Linked DNA regions of Neodiprion lecontei. The protein of the gene in region 1 purifies or fractionates together with the protein of each later gene. This does not show direct contact. Links are inferred from orthologs where the notes say so. Each region holds a gene or a part of one and is shown in the gene's direction. Other genes may lie near its edges. The genes, in order: cyclin-H and general transcription and DNA repair factor IIH helicase subunit XPD.

Region 1 (8,326 bases):
AGATTAGGTGTTACGACCAAACTCGATTACTTTCACACCTCGAGGTCTTTGAAACACCAAATTTCAATAAGAGATCGCGATGCAGTCGAAAGTCTGATCTGCCCCTTCGATCCTGAAGCTTCAAGATATTCAAAAGCTTTACCCTCACGTTTCGGGTGACGAAACGTTCGACTGTACTGATTGCGCTGTTAAAAATTTTTGTATGGAACTGCCTGCGCTGTAATGAAAGTTCTGTAATTTCACCATATGTTTACAGTTTAATCAATTTACATATAAAATAAATTTACTACACAATTTAGTGAATTCGAATTACTTTCTTGTCTTTTTCATGTAAATTTTAGTAAAATGAAAAATTTTCCTTGTAAACTTAAGACAAACGCATAGTAATTTACGTTACTGCACCGAATTTGTAAATTTGTTGTCTAATTTCGTAAATTGACAATTCTTTTGTACAGTAAATGTCTAGTAAATTCACAATAATTTTCAACGGTATCTGACACATATCCCGTATTTTGTCGCATCGAATGAAATTTTGCACAGTAAATGTAAATCATAATTACATTTGAGCATCGTGATTCCGAGAAACATGCAAGTTTTCAAGAAAAACTTGCTACCTGGAAAGTAATTTCTGCAGAACCGTTTCAAAGGCCATCGAAGAGGGCGTTGTGCCTGTGTCTAGGACTATCGATCGAGCACTAGAATTGAACTTCTTTGGCAGAAGCACCGTCATTAGCTTCCATCAGGGAAAGAATAATTCCAATCGTGGCCAAGGTGCACGCCAAAGGTGCATCAGTTGGATTTAGCGTGAGGCGCCGCAGCCGTTGATTGTTAAGCCGGCGTCGGCCGAGGCGGAGTTTCTGACTTGCCGTCGGTAATGCTTTCGAATCTCGAGCTACACCGTTAACAGCTAACCACTATAAAACTGAGCTCGATCATTTTTCTTTCTTGGAATCTCCCGAGTCGAAGAAACGCTTCAAATAATTCATAATTTATACAGTATCGAGTATGATTTTTATTACGTTGAAGCTCTGCGACGTTGTCGATTTGACCGTGAGAAAATTACAGAATTCGACCGATATATAATATGTCGCGATATTGCTGCAGTCAGCCTCTAATGTCTAATGTTAGACTTCACGCACAGCCTGACGGACCATTCGACATCCTTGCAACTATTACACGTGGGCATTTACGAGTTTAAAGCAGCAGGTAAACTCCGACGAGTAAAAGGTCTGTATCCGACAATCAGATTGAGATTCGTTCGGCTGCGATAAGATCACAACAACCGTGACTAACGAAAGGTGCCAAGACCGCCTTCCGCAGAAGAGCGTTTTGAGATTGGCGATTCGCGATTTGGGAATGGGAGGCGTGCATATGGATTGAAATTTACTTTGCAAAACTCGGCTCGTTACGCGAATGAATTTTTATTATTCCCCCGGAAGTCGGATGACCCCGATGAGTTCTTGAAGGTTTCCCCAACTGTCGATACTAATTAAGACGGGGTTGGGATGTAACACCTGCCGACAGGGTCAAATGTGATACAAACACAATTCGAGCTTACAACCAGTAATCAAGCGGTGACTTGCAATTCATAATCGCTTTAGTCGATTATACGACATGATATCAGCCGCCGTAAATTCGTCAGTCATACTTTCATAAAAAGAAAAGGTCAACGAGGTCAATTATTGCGAGACGAACAAGTAGCATTTAATATCAAACATGAATATTATTTATGCAATACCGCGAAAAGATAAATCGCAATTTGAACACTCTTCTTAAGACTCTCATCGTGAGTATAGTCGTTAATTACACATCGAGTCGTTTTTAGTACATAATAGAAGTCATATTCGTTAATTAAGACGATAGTGACGACTTTGCTCAAAATTGCAGACAATAGGCAACGCAACGTATAGCGATTGTTTACCCGAAAACAGCCTTCGACTTATAACATGGGACATTTAATGCGACATATTAAAAACTGCTTTATTACAACTTTTGCTCGATGAATTAGGCCTAATTTATATACCATGACATCCACCTGCGGGATAATTCAGCTCATTTCGAGAACTTGAAATCCAACAACGCGCGAAATATATCGTTCTACCAACGGAATATTAATTATACTCTACATGTATGAAGTATCGCATAACGATATCAGTGTTCATGATTGTGATTAATTTATTCCCGTAATATTCCCTAACTTCTCGATATACTCGGAATCCAAGGATTTTTATAACCGACTGCACTGCAGAGTAGCGAGCTCTATCCGTAGCTTCGTGAAGTCTTTGAAGCAACACCAATTGACCAGCTTTATATGAAACACCTGCAGGAACGCTACTATACCGATACAAATTAAACACTTTGTGTCATTTGTATAAGCTATTGGAGATTTCCCTGAACATTAATATCAAAAAGATGATAAGTTTCTTCCATCGAAATTTAAATGTTCCTGTACCGATTCATGATTTGTTCGCACATTTTCTTTGCTCAACCCAATAAGTAGTTTCAATTCGATCGGTGGTGTATTAAAGGTTTTCTTTCATATAGCTATCCATTCGCTATTTTTTAAACTATTTAGTTTTATTCAGGCGATAGTAATTTCATTTGTAACTTTATTCGCATGTATTATAAAGTTTTAATAATAAGAAAATTTCAAATCCTCCCGCGCCTCCGCAGCGTTATCTAGTACAGAAATACATTGGCTGAAGTATATTCTTTCAATATAAAACAATATATATTTCAGATATACAACGCATATGCGTTGACTGAAGACTATCAGTCAACGGCATATGCCAAACCTGGCAGCGTGATGACAGTACCCGGCGTATTCAAGTTTACCGCCAAGCCCCAGCGGCCATTGCTGATTGCTGAAACCACGAAGTAGCTGAAACTGACCAGTGAGCAGGAGTCTCATTTGACGCCATTGCTCAGTGAGCACTAGTGAGCAGCGCAACAGGAAGCGGTAGGAAGGCATTGGAGGACAAAGACGTTCGTCGCAGGGTATCTGATTAGGGAGTCTTTTACGGTGCGATTCAGCTGCTCACGCGATATTAAATATATTGAAAATGTTTCCAATGAGCTCTCAAAAGATGTACTGGATATTCAGTGATGAAAATGACATCACGGAACTTCGCGAGAAGACTAACTCGGAATTCATCGAGAAGCATGGCGTGAACGTGCCGGTGAGTGTTTATTCCAGTTTATTCTATCTCCCAATCGATATATCTATAGCTATAACCCAAAAAGCGTGTTTTGTCAATTCGAAAGAAATTACTCGACAAAAGCCAGTTCATACAAAGTTATGGATAATTATATCAGCTTCGAACAGCGTGCGTTTTAACATTTGATTCACCAATCGAAAATATTCCATCTTTCGCAAGCAAATCTCCGTACTCTCTAATCGTCTTTTATTTTGACATACGTATCAATTACGTGATGAACATTCCGCGCGATTGCAAAGCAATTACGGTGTTACCCGGTGGATAAATTTATTTGAGAATTTTAATTATACACAACGTGTACTGGAGAACACGCTATTTTGAATCTTTGATCGTACATAAATGCTCACGCAGTTTGTTGATTAAATACCTATAAACTTGGGGACGCCAAATAATGGCGGTAAAAATGTCTTCACCGTTTGTGGGAAGAAGACTGATATTTATACGGACATAAAAATTCTTGCCTAATATTCGATCGGCATGCTCTGTGTAAATGTTGTCCCATACATTTGCGTTTCCGTCAAGGAGTAATACTTTGTCTTTGAAAAATGGTTCGTTCTTTCCACTCGTACAGCGCGATCAAAGAGAGGAGCATTTCCTAACGACTTCGGAAGAACGGATATTACTCAAATTCTATGAATTACAACTCCGAGACTTCTGTCGCAGATTTGTTCCGCCCATGCCAAGACCTACCGTAGCAACTGCGCTTCACTACTTCAAGAGGTTCTATTTAAGGAACAGCGTTATGGATTACCATCCTAAGGAAATCCTTGTCACGTGCGTCTACCTTGGCTGCAAGGCAAGTATTTGTAATATGAATACAATTTAACATACTTGCAGAGATGACTTGCAATTAACTTTTTTTTATTGCGATGAACAAAACTTCAACTGTTTCCAGATTTTATTATTTTTTCAATTCTCTTTCTTAGGTAGAAGAATTCAATGTCTCAATATCCCAGTTCGTAGCGAATATCAAAGGAGACAGAGAAAAGGCATCAGACATCATTTTAAACAACGAATTGTTACTCATGCAGCAGCTCAACTATAACCTGACTGTCCATAATCCTTTCAGGCCTGTAGAGGGCTTGATGATCGATATAAAGGTGAGTGTAGCTTACGAAGGGAATCTACTTATTTTCCAAGCTGCAGAATCATTGGCTGAAATTTTTATCTCTTATTTTGTAAATTTCTCTTGACAATTCAGTTTTAACTTAAGCCCTTATTTCTGCTATTCATGGTTCACTCATCAAGATCATATCGAGCCTTTTGTAATTTTCTATTAATTTTTCCTGTGTTTTTAGACCAGATGCACATCACTTGAAAATCCAGAGAAGCTCAGACCGCATATCGACGATTTTCTTGAAAGAGTGTTTCTCACAGATAGTATTCTGATTTACGCTCCGAGTCAAATTGCTTTGGCTGCCACCTTGCACGCAGCGTCGAGAGCTGCTGCTAATCTAGACAATTACGTAACAGACACACTGTTCTCGAGGGAACATTTGCCAGGAATCATCGAGGCTGTTAGAAGTAAGTCGATCATAATCGTTTTTGGGGATGTTTCATCATCTTCGTCATTTTTCTTCTGACACATTATCACCGATTGTAACTATGTCATATTAAATTTTCAGAAATAAGATCAATGGCCAAGTGTGTTGAGCCTCCAACAAGAGAAGTGGTCCGGTCTCTCGAGAAGAAACTGGACAAGTGCCGAAATCAAGCGAATAATCCAGACAGTGAAATGTAAGCCTTGCATTCACGAATTTTTGCCAAACATTTTTTCCGCACGTAAGGCTGGTCTTCAAATTCAAGTACCAAATGCCAGTTCGAAACATCTAATTGTGCTACTTAAGTTATTACATTTTACTTCTTCACTTAACTGTGTACCTTTACTTAACTTTTTCAGTTACAAACAAAGAATGCAGGACATGCTGGACGAGGATGATTTACGGGATAATGAAAAATACGCAAAAATCATTCAAGACCAAGCAGAGCATGACGAGAAAGTATTGGGCGTGAGTAAATCTCTATCTCCATCGGCGTTGTAGCATCGAAAGGTTTGCCACTAAATTTCTCAAAAGACTTCAACTTACGAAAATAAGTAATCTTTAAGCACAGGGCGTAGAGGACTGTGTGATATTTCACACTTATCATCGTTTCATATTCAGTCAGTTGCACTAGCATATCTTGCTTCTTTTGTGCTACATCTTGTTTTCATTTCTTTGAAATTACGAAAAGTGATCTACAAAATTTGAGTATTCACTGCAAATCCTGATTGAACCCATATGATTCAATTGTATTCGACAGTGTCACTCATAATGTTCAAGACAACAGTTTAACATTTTCCACCCCATGTTTTAATCATTTTGGGTGTCTAGCGACATGATAAAGTTGATAATTCTCTAAAACTTGTAAAATGAATCTAGTTTCTTGAATTTTGTACTATTAACTTTCTTTTACAACTAGACTCTGAAGGTAAAATTCTGCTATATAAATAAAAACTAGCGAAGCTCTCAATAAAGTCTATATTTCATAACATATACAATACTTAAAAGCAATGAACACCACTTTATTTTTGTAGATGAAAATAGTGTTTTTGAAAATTGAAATCCTTGAAGAATTATAAACTGTATCACAACTGGATATCCCCTTAATTTCAATTTTGAAGTAGACTCAGGCAGCAATAAAACTTTATTCCTAACTTAACCGTAATGGCCACTTTATTGACCTGCAAAGGCCGACAAAAGTAGCTTATCATTCCCTCTTGTACTTTTCTCCGCAAATTTTTTTTTTTTTTTGTTCCCTTGTTTTTCCCTTAAATGCGGTTTCAACTTTTAAAGTCAATAAAGTTGCGACAGTCAAGTCCGGAATAAAGTCCTATATGCAATACGGCTATAAAGACTATTATTTCTTTATCACATAATGTGCTATTAAAGACAGTAAAATAAAAAAAACTAGAAACAAAATAGAATAATTGTTTCTCAGTTACTGTCAAAAATTGTGCATCTCTAACGACTACAATCTCGGGGCGTAGTACATAGGTATTCATTTTGTAATTATAAGCTTCCAATATCTCCAGTACCTTATAAAATATGTTCGTACCCAAAGCAATGATTTTTCACTAAATCGTAAACTAATGTAAATCAGCTGGCCGAAACGCGTGTATGGGGCATTCCACGTCAAGTCAGCCACCTCCAGGCCTCACTACCTTTGATTTCATTCTTCTAGGATTTTGTTATACCATGCGAAAGTGGTGTCTCTGATTTATTTAAAAATTTTCGGAGCCTCCGTTCCGGAGTTCTTGCAAGCCTAAATTTTACGATATTCAAAAATTTACGAACTTTTAATCGATGATACCTCCAAATTGAACAATCGTATCAAAAACAGTAAGGTGGTGTTTCGATTCGTCTTGAATTCAAGTGTTTGAAAAAAAAATGTTTTGCAGATATTTTCCGCGACGTTTAAGCTGTCGTAACTGATGTTCAAATAAAAAAATCAAAATTCCATCAAGTATATTATTTTTGAAAATTTTGAAACATTTTTTTTTCGGTTGACGAAGTTGACGTGGAATGCCCCATATACAAACTAATGGATAACAAATATGCGAATTATTCGGAGTACCTTAGGTAGAGGAAAACAATGTTCAATTTACGTTGTCCTAATGAATCAGTTAATTGGAATCTGAGTATCCGGTGCAATCGGCGTACAAAACTATTTACTTGATTGCTTTATCTGCTTGAAGATTTCTCAAATAACACTGTAAAATTTAACGCTACGCTACAACACCCGTGTTTTGCTTATCATCCAATTACTACATTTTTATTTCAAATGTGTAATCAACACCTGAAGTTTCCAATTTAGAAAATCGAAACCTAAGTCCACCGTGGCTTTTGGTACTGAAACAGCCACAAAGATTACATAACCACGTATCTCCTTAGTTCGCAGTTGAAATGATAGGGTGGCGACAGACTGGGAAACCCGGGAATAGTCAGGGAATTTCGTATATTGGAAAAAGACCGGGAAAAATCAAAGAATTATGATGGACTATAAAGAAAAACGTACTTTTTCTATAAATCGTTTTCAAACTTCAGCTGAGCTTCGTAAATTCAGTTAAGCTAACCGTCTAAAATGGTATCGTTCAATTTCTAAGTATTTGTGTGAAACTAAGCAATACTATGTGCTTTTTAGATCCAAATTTATATATTCAAGGTGCGGAACTTCTGGAGCTTTTCGTCATAAAAGCTGCTCCACATTACCTATGTTTTGTGGAAAAACGTTAGAGAATTCTGCATTTTTTAACCCTAGACGGGGCAACCTAATTTTTATACTTTCTACGGGGTAACTGGGGCATCGGAGTACCCCAAGCGTTTCCAAACAATACAAGCCTTTCTAGTTCCAATAAGATAGGTTTATTATGCATCATTTTCGTCGTTTTTTAATCAGAAACACGAAGGTATATATTAAAATCCCTTTCCTTTGAGATGAAAACGAGAAGAACTTGTTTAAAGCAAAAAAAAAAAAGGGCGGTGAAGAGCTAAAAATGACTTTTTTCAGTCAAAATAGTCTCATTCTTTTTCTAATTAACCGATTTCCAAAACTCCAACGGGATTTGAAAGGGAGTACACTGAGCCTTGAGATGAAATGGTGTATCGATTCATTTTTTTCAAAAAGTATAATTATTTATTTATCCGAAAACTGAAAATAACAAAAAGCCGTAAATGGGTGAAGTCAATGAAAAATTACATATTGCATCTTTTTTTCAACTTTGAATGAATTTTTTATTCAACAAATAATTTTTATAAATATAGAAAATAACCATCGAGGCTTAATGGTATACCGATCGGTTTATAGTGGCACAAATTTCACAAAAGATTGAACTGTGCTCGTCACAGACAGGTCGGTTACAGTTTTCGTAGAAAGTTTTTACTTTTCGGTCGGCTGGTCGTGGACAAATGGCACGTCTTACTTTTTATCCAGCCCGAGGTTTATCATTTCCATCCCCCTCTGAGTCCGAATCGTACATCATTTCTACATAATCTTCCTCTTCGTCATCTTCCGACAGCATATCAACAGCCAACTCTGTTTTTTCCGAAAGCGCCTCACTGGCCGATTTA
Region 2 (10,157 bases), on another chromosome or scaffold:
CAATTTTGACTTGAAATCTATGTCAAAAAGCAGATAAGGCGACTTCTTGTGTTATAAACTCTAGAGCCGTATGGTTGACATGATATTACAAGCAATACAACGCAATATAATATAATTTAATAATATATGTACTCCAAGGCTCCTTGAAAAAACTTACGTTTGTAATTTGTAATCCAGCACAACATATCATTATCACAGACGTAAGAAATAGTACAAGTAATATCCATGTATGTATATCATTTATATCACGTATTGAACTATGAAGAAAATACTTGTATAATGTTTTGAAATAATCATGAAAAGGTAATACGAATTACACAAAGTTCCACTCACTTGAAAACTTGACAATGCAGGTCCACTAATTTTTTAATTTTTTTGCTGTACGCCACAATAAGTTCATCATTAGATTCATTTTTTCCATGATTTTCTTCATATTTCATCGACTCCATATCTGGCTGCTTCAAACTTTTTAGTATATCTTGCATGACTTTGTATCGTGCACAGCAACAAAATACAAGGAGACCAAAGGTCACATCAACTCCGGAGCAAAGCCAAGACATGACAATGACGCACAGTTGATGCAAATAAGCAATACTATAATGAAGGGTTGACTGTTTGTAATCGAAAGGATACCATGCTGTTATTGGCAGATCTTTGTCAGCCTTAAAGAATGGTACCAGACAATAATCTGTAGCCAGTAGGAATATTGTGGTTGTGTATGTAAAATAAACGAGGTTACAAGTACTCGCGTATCCCTCAAGATGTTTTCTCAGGCATGGAGAACCGTTCTTTATCATATGATTTACATCCATCAAGAGTTTGCATAATTTCTCTTTATGAATTCTGTACATTACCACCTTGATCGTTAATTGTAGAAATGCGAGCTGCAGAAAAGATGAACTTGTAAATGTGGTATATCTTACAATGAGTGATTCGATACGTTACCTGTGTACTGACATGCTCGGCGATAAACTGCGAACTTATTGAATTCTGATAAACATACACCAAAATTTGGAAAAACATTAAAGTAGCAGCAAAAAAGATTAGCATAAAGTGAGCGAGGCTTATCGTTTTTGTGACAACTGAAGCTTCCGAGGATAGCGGCCAAAACGACAATCCTCTTAAAAAAATACTTATGTACCACAGAGAAGTTTCAAGCTTGATCATAATTCTTAATGAAATTAACGAATTGACTGAGGAGAATGGAAAGAGTTCGAAATGGAAAACGGAGAACTGACCATGAGTTTTCTCAAAACTTCCAATATATTTGAGACAGCTTGAACTGTTTCTCAGATTGCGTCTTCTGGACATGCCAGGTGATGGCTGGATGAAAAATGCAAGACGAAATCATACAGTGTGAGGGTTGACTGAGAAAATTGCTGTTGTTGCAAGTCAGGAGGAAAGACCTATTATTACTGGCCTTCGGTCATCCTGAATTATAGAGGATGTAGTTGAATTCTAAAGCTTTTATACCTGTTATTTCATGTCACCTGCGTATTCATGACTATCTTACAAGTGAAAGAACTATTATTTCCGTAACAGCTCGGTGATATGAAGTTGGGATTCCCACTAGGCAGAGATGGAAACAATTATCTCCTTTACCAATCTAATACTTTTACAGTAAAAATTGTTTTATTCAATTGAGGAAAAATTGATTTTCTCAATAGAGTAAAATCAAACGTCGGAGCATTGCACATAGTATGCGAAACTACAGAATGGGAGGTCTTGAGTTCAAATGATGGGTCAGATGAATCATGTCGAACAGGTGCTGAATTGACAAGCTGAGATTTGAACTCGGCATGGCCACACTTGGGGAAGGTTTTTCACAGTTTTCCTTATCCTCTGTGTGAATGCGGATGTTTCTAATAAACATCTTAAAATGACAGCAGACACATAATAATGGTCACTAACCGATGCCTGTCTCACCCTGTATAAGCTGTCCGATTATGAGTACATACACACATATGGCGGGACTGAACGTGATTATTATTATTATGTTATAAAAGAAATTGATGTATATTGACATAATCGTTTTACAAAAAGATATCCATAACTTCATGTAAAAAATACATTACATACAAAATTATTTTTTATCAGACTGCTACTAAGATGAAAAACATGTACTTAGGAACACCAAAATTAGAAGTAACCATACTATAAAAAATATGTTTAGCAAACGTGAATGAATCATCAAACATTTTAACACACTAACTCCAGATTTCCTTGGAATAGAAACTTTTCGTAGACTTTAAACGCGTCACTTTGCCTTGTTTTGACGATGTGAATGCTTATGTAAGAAATTTATAATTGTGCTACAGATGTTAAATTCCTACTAAGTTTTTAGACTAGCTTTTTTATATGAAATTTTAGAGGCAATACAATTATCCGGATGACAATTCACTATCTGATTTCTTTCAACAAGTTTCGTGCGTCTTCCATTACTCAGGTGACCAGAAGAGCTCAAATCACTAGCTGATGGACATTGGAAATTTGCATTGCAGATGAATGACGAACGACTATTCCTCGAAGGTTGCGTCCACCGAGAATCCCTGTAGTGCCTGTGATGTTGAGAGACTTCCTCTGCACTTTGGTTATTAATCACTTTCTCCTTGTTAGAATTTATCCTCTCCTCAGCAAGCAGACTCTGAATGTTTGTTTGAGTTCGAAGCGCATGTGGCAATGACAGTTCGCGCAATTGGCATGCGACACTTTTGCCTAGCAAGTATAAATATGACAATTAGCCCATGGAGAATGTACAAAAAAACGTTAGTATTTTGCAAGAGAGTCTTTTAAACATTTCAAATTATAAGATTTTCTTACCAAAAGCATCAAATTCATCGCCATACTTTTTTTGCGACTTGTGTTTCTTGATCGAATTGGTTATGACTTGTGACTTTACTTCTGCGTTCGAAGCTCTGATTATTGAACAATCGCCAGAGGTTGAAAATGAACTGATATTCGGAATGGATTGCAAAGCTCTAGGTGTTTGCTGCCTGATAAAGTCATGTTGCGAGGCAAGATTAATTTTCTGTTTTAAAGGTACAGCATTTTTCGTCAACTTTGTTGGGGATATGTCGAGATTGAGTTGAGTTGGAAAATGTCTAACACAGCTGGGACACTGGTTTATTGGACAGCAACGTTGCGAATATAACAACGACTGGGAGGTGTGATGGTTGAATTCTTCTGGCTCACCATTATTCGCCTCAACATGTAGCGAGCTATCCTAGACATGCGAAGGTAATTTGATCAGAATAGTTATATACATAGGAATAATTTTTTTCAGTAATTGAACTTTAATCCTGGTAATAAACTAACGGCGTTAGAATCCTGTTCTGTGATATAAGCGCGTAAAAATTCGTGGATCAATTCAAACCAAGTGATTTTTGGCTTGTAGGGGAATCCCCGGAAGTTAGCATCGTTGATCTTTACCAATTCCATGCGATAGATTCGCTTTATTTGCTTTATTCTGTCGCGAACCTCGTTCACGGTCAGATCGCGAATGTTCAGGTCTCGAATTATCCCCAGGTATGCGGTGTACCGTGCCTCCAAATCATTATACGAATCACTATCGTGTTTCCACAGGCATTCGTGCCGAATGTACGATAAAACTAGTTTGTAAACTCGCGCCTCTGTCCATTCTACGGGCATTTTAACCTAGCGGAAGCTGACATTTACATCAACGTATAATGCACAATTTCGAAATACAACGAACGCGAAACGAAACGTATCGTATTACAATTCAATTTCAAAGTCTGTCACATCTAGCAAAATATCACAAACGCGGGTTAGAAATAACTAGTTAAATATTCGAAAGTATTTTCCAATGTACGAATCTGAAGTTCTGCAAATGTTTTTGTTACCAATAATTTTTACAAAACATGGGTACCCATTCCATCTTCATTTTCAACAGTGTTCTCAGTATTTCAAAAATTCTATCTAAGGTTTTCAAATATCACACAATCATACTATTTTACTGAAGCAACAGTTATAGTAGTGATGTTGTCATCTGCATTTGTAATACAGTCTTTGCATGTAATTTTTCGATACGATTTCGACTAAACTTCTCTATAGAAATCAATTTGATGCACTAATCTAATTTCATGTAGTCAAGATTCTTTGGTGCAGACTAGCTTCCAGAGATTCGCCATATCACGTATGGTAATACCCATATAAGTGGCTATGTATGTACATACATACGCTAATGTTAGAAATTGAAGTTCATTCATCCGACCAGCAGAGCAGCAAACGCAAGATGTTTTTGGCCGTGTTCGAAAATTGACTGACAGTACTGTCAGCAATCTTTCATCTCTTTTGCGCTTCCAAGTTCATGGATAGCTCTGACTCTGTCCTAGGGAATTTTCAGTACTGTCAGTCAATTTACGAACACGGCCTTTATAAGCAGTGCAGCTGCGACGTTAAATTACTAGGGGTGTATTCCGCCAGGGAACTGTGGCACACTTTGGCAGTAAATGACCAGTAAATAGTACCAACCGCTAGTTAGAAAATTCAAAATATACTATTACTGGACTGCCACAGTTTCCTTGCGGAATACACCCTAGACAGATGTTAGTAACATCTAGTAAGTTACTAAACTGCTGCTGGTTTTTGCTACTCATGAAAGTTCACCTTAATACCTCACCTAACTTAACTGTCACATTCAGAAAAAAAACTAACCTAATCTAATCCTGATACCCTGGATTCGCACGAGCGGTCGGCAACCTGACGCATGTAAGCATCGTAAACGTGAACTTTGGAGGCTATAAACAATAAGAACCAGTGAAGTAGATTTGTTATAAATGTGGCAGAAAGAAATTCGTAAACAACAAAAATGAAGTAATTATCTGGGTGTAATTTCGTTATCAAACAATAAGCAACGAGAAAGTATTCCGTATTATGAAATAAACTTGGCATCTTCTTCTTACAGAATCAGTGTCGACGGATTGATTGTGTACTTCCCCTACGATTACATTTACCCGGAACAGTATGCGTACATGTTGGAACTCAAGCGAGGTCTCGATGCTAGGGTAAATCTTGCCTTTAATAACGAGATATCACACCCCATATTAATAAGCAGCTTACAAATTCGCCTTCTTAACCTCCAAACTGCGTTTCCAAACTTCACAATTTATCTTACGATATAAATATACATTATTTTATTATTTCTCTGAAGCTTGCGAAGATTTGATCCTTCAAAATATGTTTATTCATGTAATTTAAACACTTTGAAGGAAAACTGATTCAATGATTTGCCAAGAGATTGATTCCTCCAACTGATGAGTAAACATTCTTTAAGTTAAAAAGTTTTCAATGTCTTACTTTCCATGCATATGAATAATAAAATCATTGTAATTATTTGGAAAAACAGTAGAATGCTTGTTTTTAAGTGAGGAAACTTCTAAATATTGCTCATGCTCTCATGCAGGAAGAGCTTTTTTTAAATGCCATACAACAAGCTATAAATTTATTCCTTTGTGTTTAATAACTCGCAATCAAGCTTTGTCAATTTCATGAAGGTTTAAGAATAATTCTTTGTAGTTGAGACACATTAATTAACAGAAACTTTGTTGGTCTTTCAGTGCTACTTTCATGAAATAGGCTAATCCTCCTCAAAGAATTCAATGATTAATAATTTTTAATACCATCATTTGAAAAATAATTACACGTATCAACAAGCATAGGAAAGTAAATTATTAAAAATTATCAAATCAGTTAAGGCGTCTCTAATATAATGAATATATATTCTACAGGGTCATTGCCTCTTGGAAATGCCTTCGGGTACTGGAAAAACTGTGACATTACTGTCACTGATTGTGGCTTACATGCTGCAAAACCCCTTGAAGATAACTAAATTAATATACTGCTCACGTACAGTACCGGAGATAGAGAAAGTCATAGAAGAATTAAAAAATCTTATAGAATACTATGAAAAAGAGGATGGAGTAAAGCCAAAACTTGTTGGATTGGTGCTGAGCTCTAGGAAAAACATGTGCATACATCCAGAAGTTCGTTGAGTATATTATTCATTCATTTTCTAATAACAAAGAATCAGCTGATTGATAAGATGATTATATTTTTCAGATAAGCAGGGAACGTGAAGGAAAAATTGTTGACGGTCGATGTCATTCCCTCACTGCCTCGTATATAAGAGAAAGGCATAATTACGATGAATCAACGCCAGTTTGCAGCTTTTATGAGGGATTCGATTTAGAGGGACGTGAACAGATTGTGCCTGCTGGAATTTATTCCCTGGATGACCTGAAAGAGTATGGAAGAGACAGGAATTGGTGTCCATATTTTTTGGCTAGATTTACGGTTGGTCTGTTAATTATTTAAGTTCATTGATCAATTAATTTATTAATTTATAAACCTGTTTCTTTACTCGTTCTTTTGAAAACAAAATTTTTGTTGTCATATTATTGTCACCACTTCTCTCTTCTTATTTCTTGACTTGAACAATGTATATTTTGTTTTACATAGGACTGGAACTGTTTGAATCATGTGGTCCAGTTACAGATTTGAAAACTTTTCTTTTATCTTTCAGATACTGCAAGCTCACATCGTTGTATACAGTTACCACTATCTTCTCGATCCAAAAATTGCTGAAACTGTATCTAAAGAATTGAGTAAAACATCTGTTGTAGTTTTTGACGAGGCACACAACATCGGTAATAATTTTCTATTTAATCAAACTTTTAAGAACATACGTGCATACAGCATACATGGGCATAAATTGAACACATGAAACAAATGGATATACAAACTACATCGTATTGTTAATGATATTGGGGAGCCAAAAGTGTGGCCACATCCATTGTACTTAACAGAAGATTTTCGACATTATTTTCAGACAACGTATGCATAGACTCAATGAGCGTCAAAATAAACAAAAGAATAGTTGAAAAAAGCACGGCAAATATACAAATTTTGGAGAAAACTGTGGCTGAGTAAGTTAAACCAAATCACAATTAGTTTATATAGATATTAAGTTCCAAGTTTCACACAAATTTTCTAGTTCATAAAAACCGACATTGCTCTTTGTTATTCGTTCATTTATGATTTTCAGGATGAGAGAAGACGACGTGAATAAATTAAAAGAGGAATACAGTAGATTAGTTGAAGGCCTCAAAGGTGCGCAAACGGCAAGAGAAACTGACATTATTTTGTCCAACCCAATTTTGCCAGATGAAGTACTTCAAGGTAAGTCTAACTTACATGAGTAACTTTCATCCGATAAATCAATGAAAATGTTGTGAAATGGTTATATTTTCTTTGCTTTACTTACGGTGAGATATAGCGCTGATTAAAAAATGCATGTATCTTTTTTCCAGAGGTTGTTCCTGGCAACATAAGAAATGCCGAACACTTTGTTGGATTCTTGAAGCGGTTTGTAGAATACCTAAAAACAAGGCTTCGAGTGCAGCATGTAATGCAGGAATCGCCAGCTGGATTTCTACGCGACATCCAGTCTAAAGTTTGCATAGAAAGAAAACCCCTGAAGTTTTGCGCGGAGAGATTGGCATCGCTTTTACGAACGATGGAAATTAGTGATGTTACAGATTTTTCGCCTCTGATTTTGGTCACGCACCTTGCCACTCTTGTTTCCACGTACACAAAAGGTTTCACTATCATAGTCGAACCATTCGATGATAAAACACCAACGGTTCTAAACCCAATTCTACATTTTAGCTGTCTCGATTGTTCTATTGCTATGAAACCAATATTTGACAGATTTCAGTCAGTCATTATCACCTCGGGAACACTTTCGCCCTTAGACATGTATCCAAAGATCTTAGATTTTCATCCTGTAATCATGTCGTCGTTTACCATGACTCTTGCAAGACCTTGTTTGTTACCAATGGTGAGATTTCGTCTTTGCATATTTTACAGTTAAAAAAACAATGCAGTACTTCATTCACGATGACCGTTCAATCGTTCAATTAATTTTCAGATCGTTGCCAAAGGTAATGACCAGGTAGCGATATCATCTAAATTTGAAACTAGAGAAGATGTCGCCGTGATAAGAAATTATGGACAATTATTGGTAGAATTCTCAGCAGCTGTACCAGACGGTTTAGTCTGTTTTTTCACCTCTTATTCATACATGGAATCTGTAGTTGCTGCATGGTAGGTAGTGAAGAGAATCTAGCATAATAATTGAACACATGTGTGAATTTATGATTAAAAAATATTTCGGCCCGGCCGAAACGTCGGAAACATGTGGTTTTTTAACCAAATAAATTAATTACAAAACTGACCGGATTTCGACTAAACATGATTCAATCATTAAAAAATATCGTTATGTTTTTTTTAGGTATGATCAAGGAGTAGTAGACCAACTTCAGAGGCACAAATTACTCTTCATCGAGACACAAGACTCTGCAGAAACAAGTTTGGCCTTGATGAACTACATAAAAGCATGCGAAAATGGACGTGGAGCTGTTCTATTATCCGTAGCTCGAGGCAAAGTGTCAGAGGGGGTTGATTTTGACCACCATTTAGGAAGAGCTGTTCTTATGTTCGGTATACCTTATGTTTACACTCAGTCCCGGATCTTGAAAGCCAGACTAGAATATCTACGAGATCAATTTCAAGTTAGTATCAGAAGTTTTGTCATTTTAAAAGTTATGACATACCTTGGATTAAATTTTCAGTCAGGTTTTTTCTAATCTATCAAGACATAAAATGTGCAATTTTTCTTTAAATTTCAGATAAGAGAAAATGATTTCTTAACGTTTGATGCAATGCGGCATGCCGCGCAGTGCGTTGGCCGAGCCATAAGAGGCAAAACTGACTATGGTATCATGGTGTTCGCGGACAAGGTACTGTACCTTAAAGTTTTTTATAATTCATCACAGATTGGAGTTCCTGTCGATAAATGATAGCTTCTACGTTGTTACTGAAAATGATTTGGTTTACAAACTTTTCAGCGTTTTTCAAGAGCGGACAAAAGAAGCAAATTGCCCAAATGGATTCAAGAACACCTTACAGACAGTCTTTGCAATTTATCAACAGAAGAAGCAATACAGGTTCTGAAATGACATCAATTATAATCTCCTGAAAATACTATAGATATGAAATGTAATCCTGAAGATGTTATCTTCGTATTATAATCAATAATCATCGTTAAATTCGACATCTTAATTAAAATAATTTATCGATCGTACAAAGTAAAATAAACCCGTATGTATCACAACAAATTTTTTCTAGATAAGCAAAAGGTGGTTGCGACAAATGGCTCAGCCATTTACGAGGGAAGATCAGCTCGGATTGTCTCTTTTGACTAGGGAACAATTGGAAAAGGAAGAAGCCAGCAAATTTGAGAAACAAGCACAACAAAATTAAAATGGTGCCTCATTCTTAGAGGTCTAAGAGTATAGAGTTAGAGGAATATCGGGTAAGATTAGAACACATTCTAATACCAATTTCACATTAGCCGACAGACACAATTTTACCGCTATTCGATAACTGGTTGATAAAGATGTCTTATGAAAGGTGACTTTATTTATGTATATTGTTTCTCGTTTTTTTCCTTGTACACCATGTATACTAAGAAAACATTAAATCTTGTTTGGTAAAAAAATGAATGAAAAAAACGAAAAGAACTGAAATCATAATTGCTAGGGGATAATTCAAATTCTATTCATCTTTATAAATACCTTAGTCATATTTTGTTATGAATATCGGTCCACTGTCTTGTGAACATTGAGTTGAAAAATATTTACGTTTTCTTGGTTTAGTGAGAATTCTATCTTGTATTGCATACGGATATGGGTATGTAAATATCGAACGGTGGATATATGAATGTAATATAACATTAAGTTTCATTTAAATTGTTTTTTCATGTTTTATTAAAAAAGCTTCCTTAAATAATTCACAGTTTCAGTTCACAGGAATTAGTATTCAATAAAGCACGTTAATTACATCATCATTTCGAACTTAGTTAAGTGTTGTAACCTAATTAGGTTTTCCAAATTCGCAACGTTAATTAAGAAAAATAAGTGGCACTAGCTATTAAACAAAAAAGTCTAAAGAAAATGATCGCTTAGTGAATACGATTAAGTAGATGATTTCACAGTGATGCGGATAATGTAAATTTTTTAACAGAATTCGTATCGTACGCAGTACCGATTTTTATTCTATATTCTGATCAAGAGTGC

What was found.
Region 2: the proteins of cyclin-H (region 1) and general transcription and DNA repair factor IIH helicase subunit XPD purify together in Homo sapiens (affinity purification with mass spectrometry; 3 studies listed by BioGRID and IntAct, counting the BioPlex papers as one, with this or other methods). This does not show direct contact. The link is inferred for Neodiprion lecontei from reciprocal best matches to the Homo sapiens genes CCNH and ERCC2.

The regions. Positions count from the first base shown.
Region 1 is NC_060263.1:34,017,918-34,026,243, reverse strand, and holds the start of cyclin-H, read left to right. Parts: upstream 1-2,947; 5' UTR 2,948-3,062; coding exon 3,063-3,179; intron 3,180-3,789; coding exon 3,790-4,014; intron 4,015-4,144; coding exon 4,145-4,318; intron 4,319-4,516; coding exon 4,517-4,742; intron 4,743-4,843; coding exon 4,844-4,955; intron 4,956-5,118; coding exon 5,119-5,260; 3' UTR 5,261-5,269; exon of another isoform or gene 5,270-7,920; intron 7,921-8,326. UniProt on the Homo sapiens protein: Regulates CDK7, the catalytic subunit of the CDK-activating kinase (CAK) enzymatic complex. CAK activates the cyclin-associated kinases CDK1, CDK2, CDK4 and CDK6 by threonine phosphorylation.
Region 2 is NC_060266.1:18,324,542-18,334,698, reverse strand, and holds the start of general transcription and DNA repair factor IIH helicase subunit XPD, read left to right. Parts: upstream 1-3,098; 5' UTR 3,099-3,229; coding exon 3,230-3,237; intron 3,238-4,648; exon of another isoform or gene 4,649-4,828; coding exon of another isoform or gene 4,829-4,833; intron 4,834-4,924; coding exon 4,925-5,024; intron 5,025-5,747; coding exon 5,748-6,002; intron 6,003-6,078; coding exon 6,079-6,312; intron 6,313-6,541; coding exon 6,542-6,665; intron 6,666-6,847; coding exon 6,848-6,944; intron 6,945-7,063; coding exon 7,064-7,197; intron 7,198-7,328; coding exon 7,329-7,858; intron 7,859-7,948; coding exon 7,949-8,124; intron 8,125-8,311; coding exon 8,312-8,591; intron 8,592-8,708; coding exon 8,709-8,819; intron 8,820-8,927; coding exon 8,928-9,026; intron 9,027-9,207; coding exon 9,208-9,342; 3' UTR 9,343-10,157. Other genes in the region: odorant receptor 83a-like, read right to left, coding at 158-257, 334-884, 946-1,167. UniProt on the Homo sapiens protein: ATP-dependent 5'-3' DNA helicase. Component of the general transcription and DNA repair factor IIH (TFIIH) core complex, not absolutely essential for minimal transcription in vitro.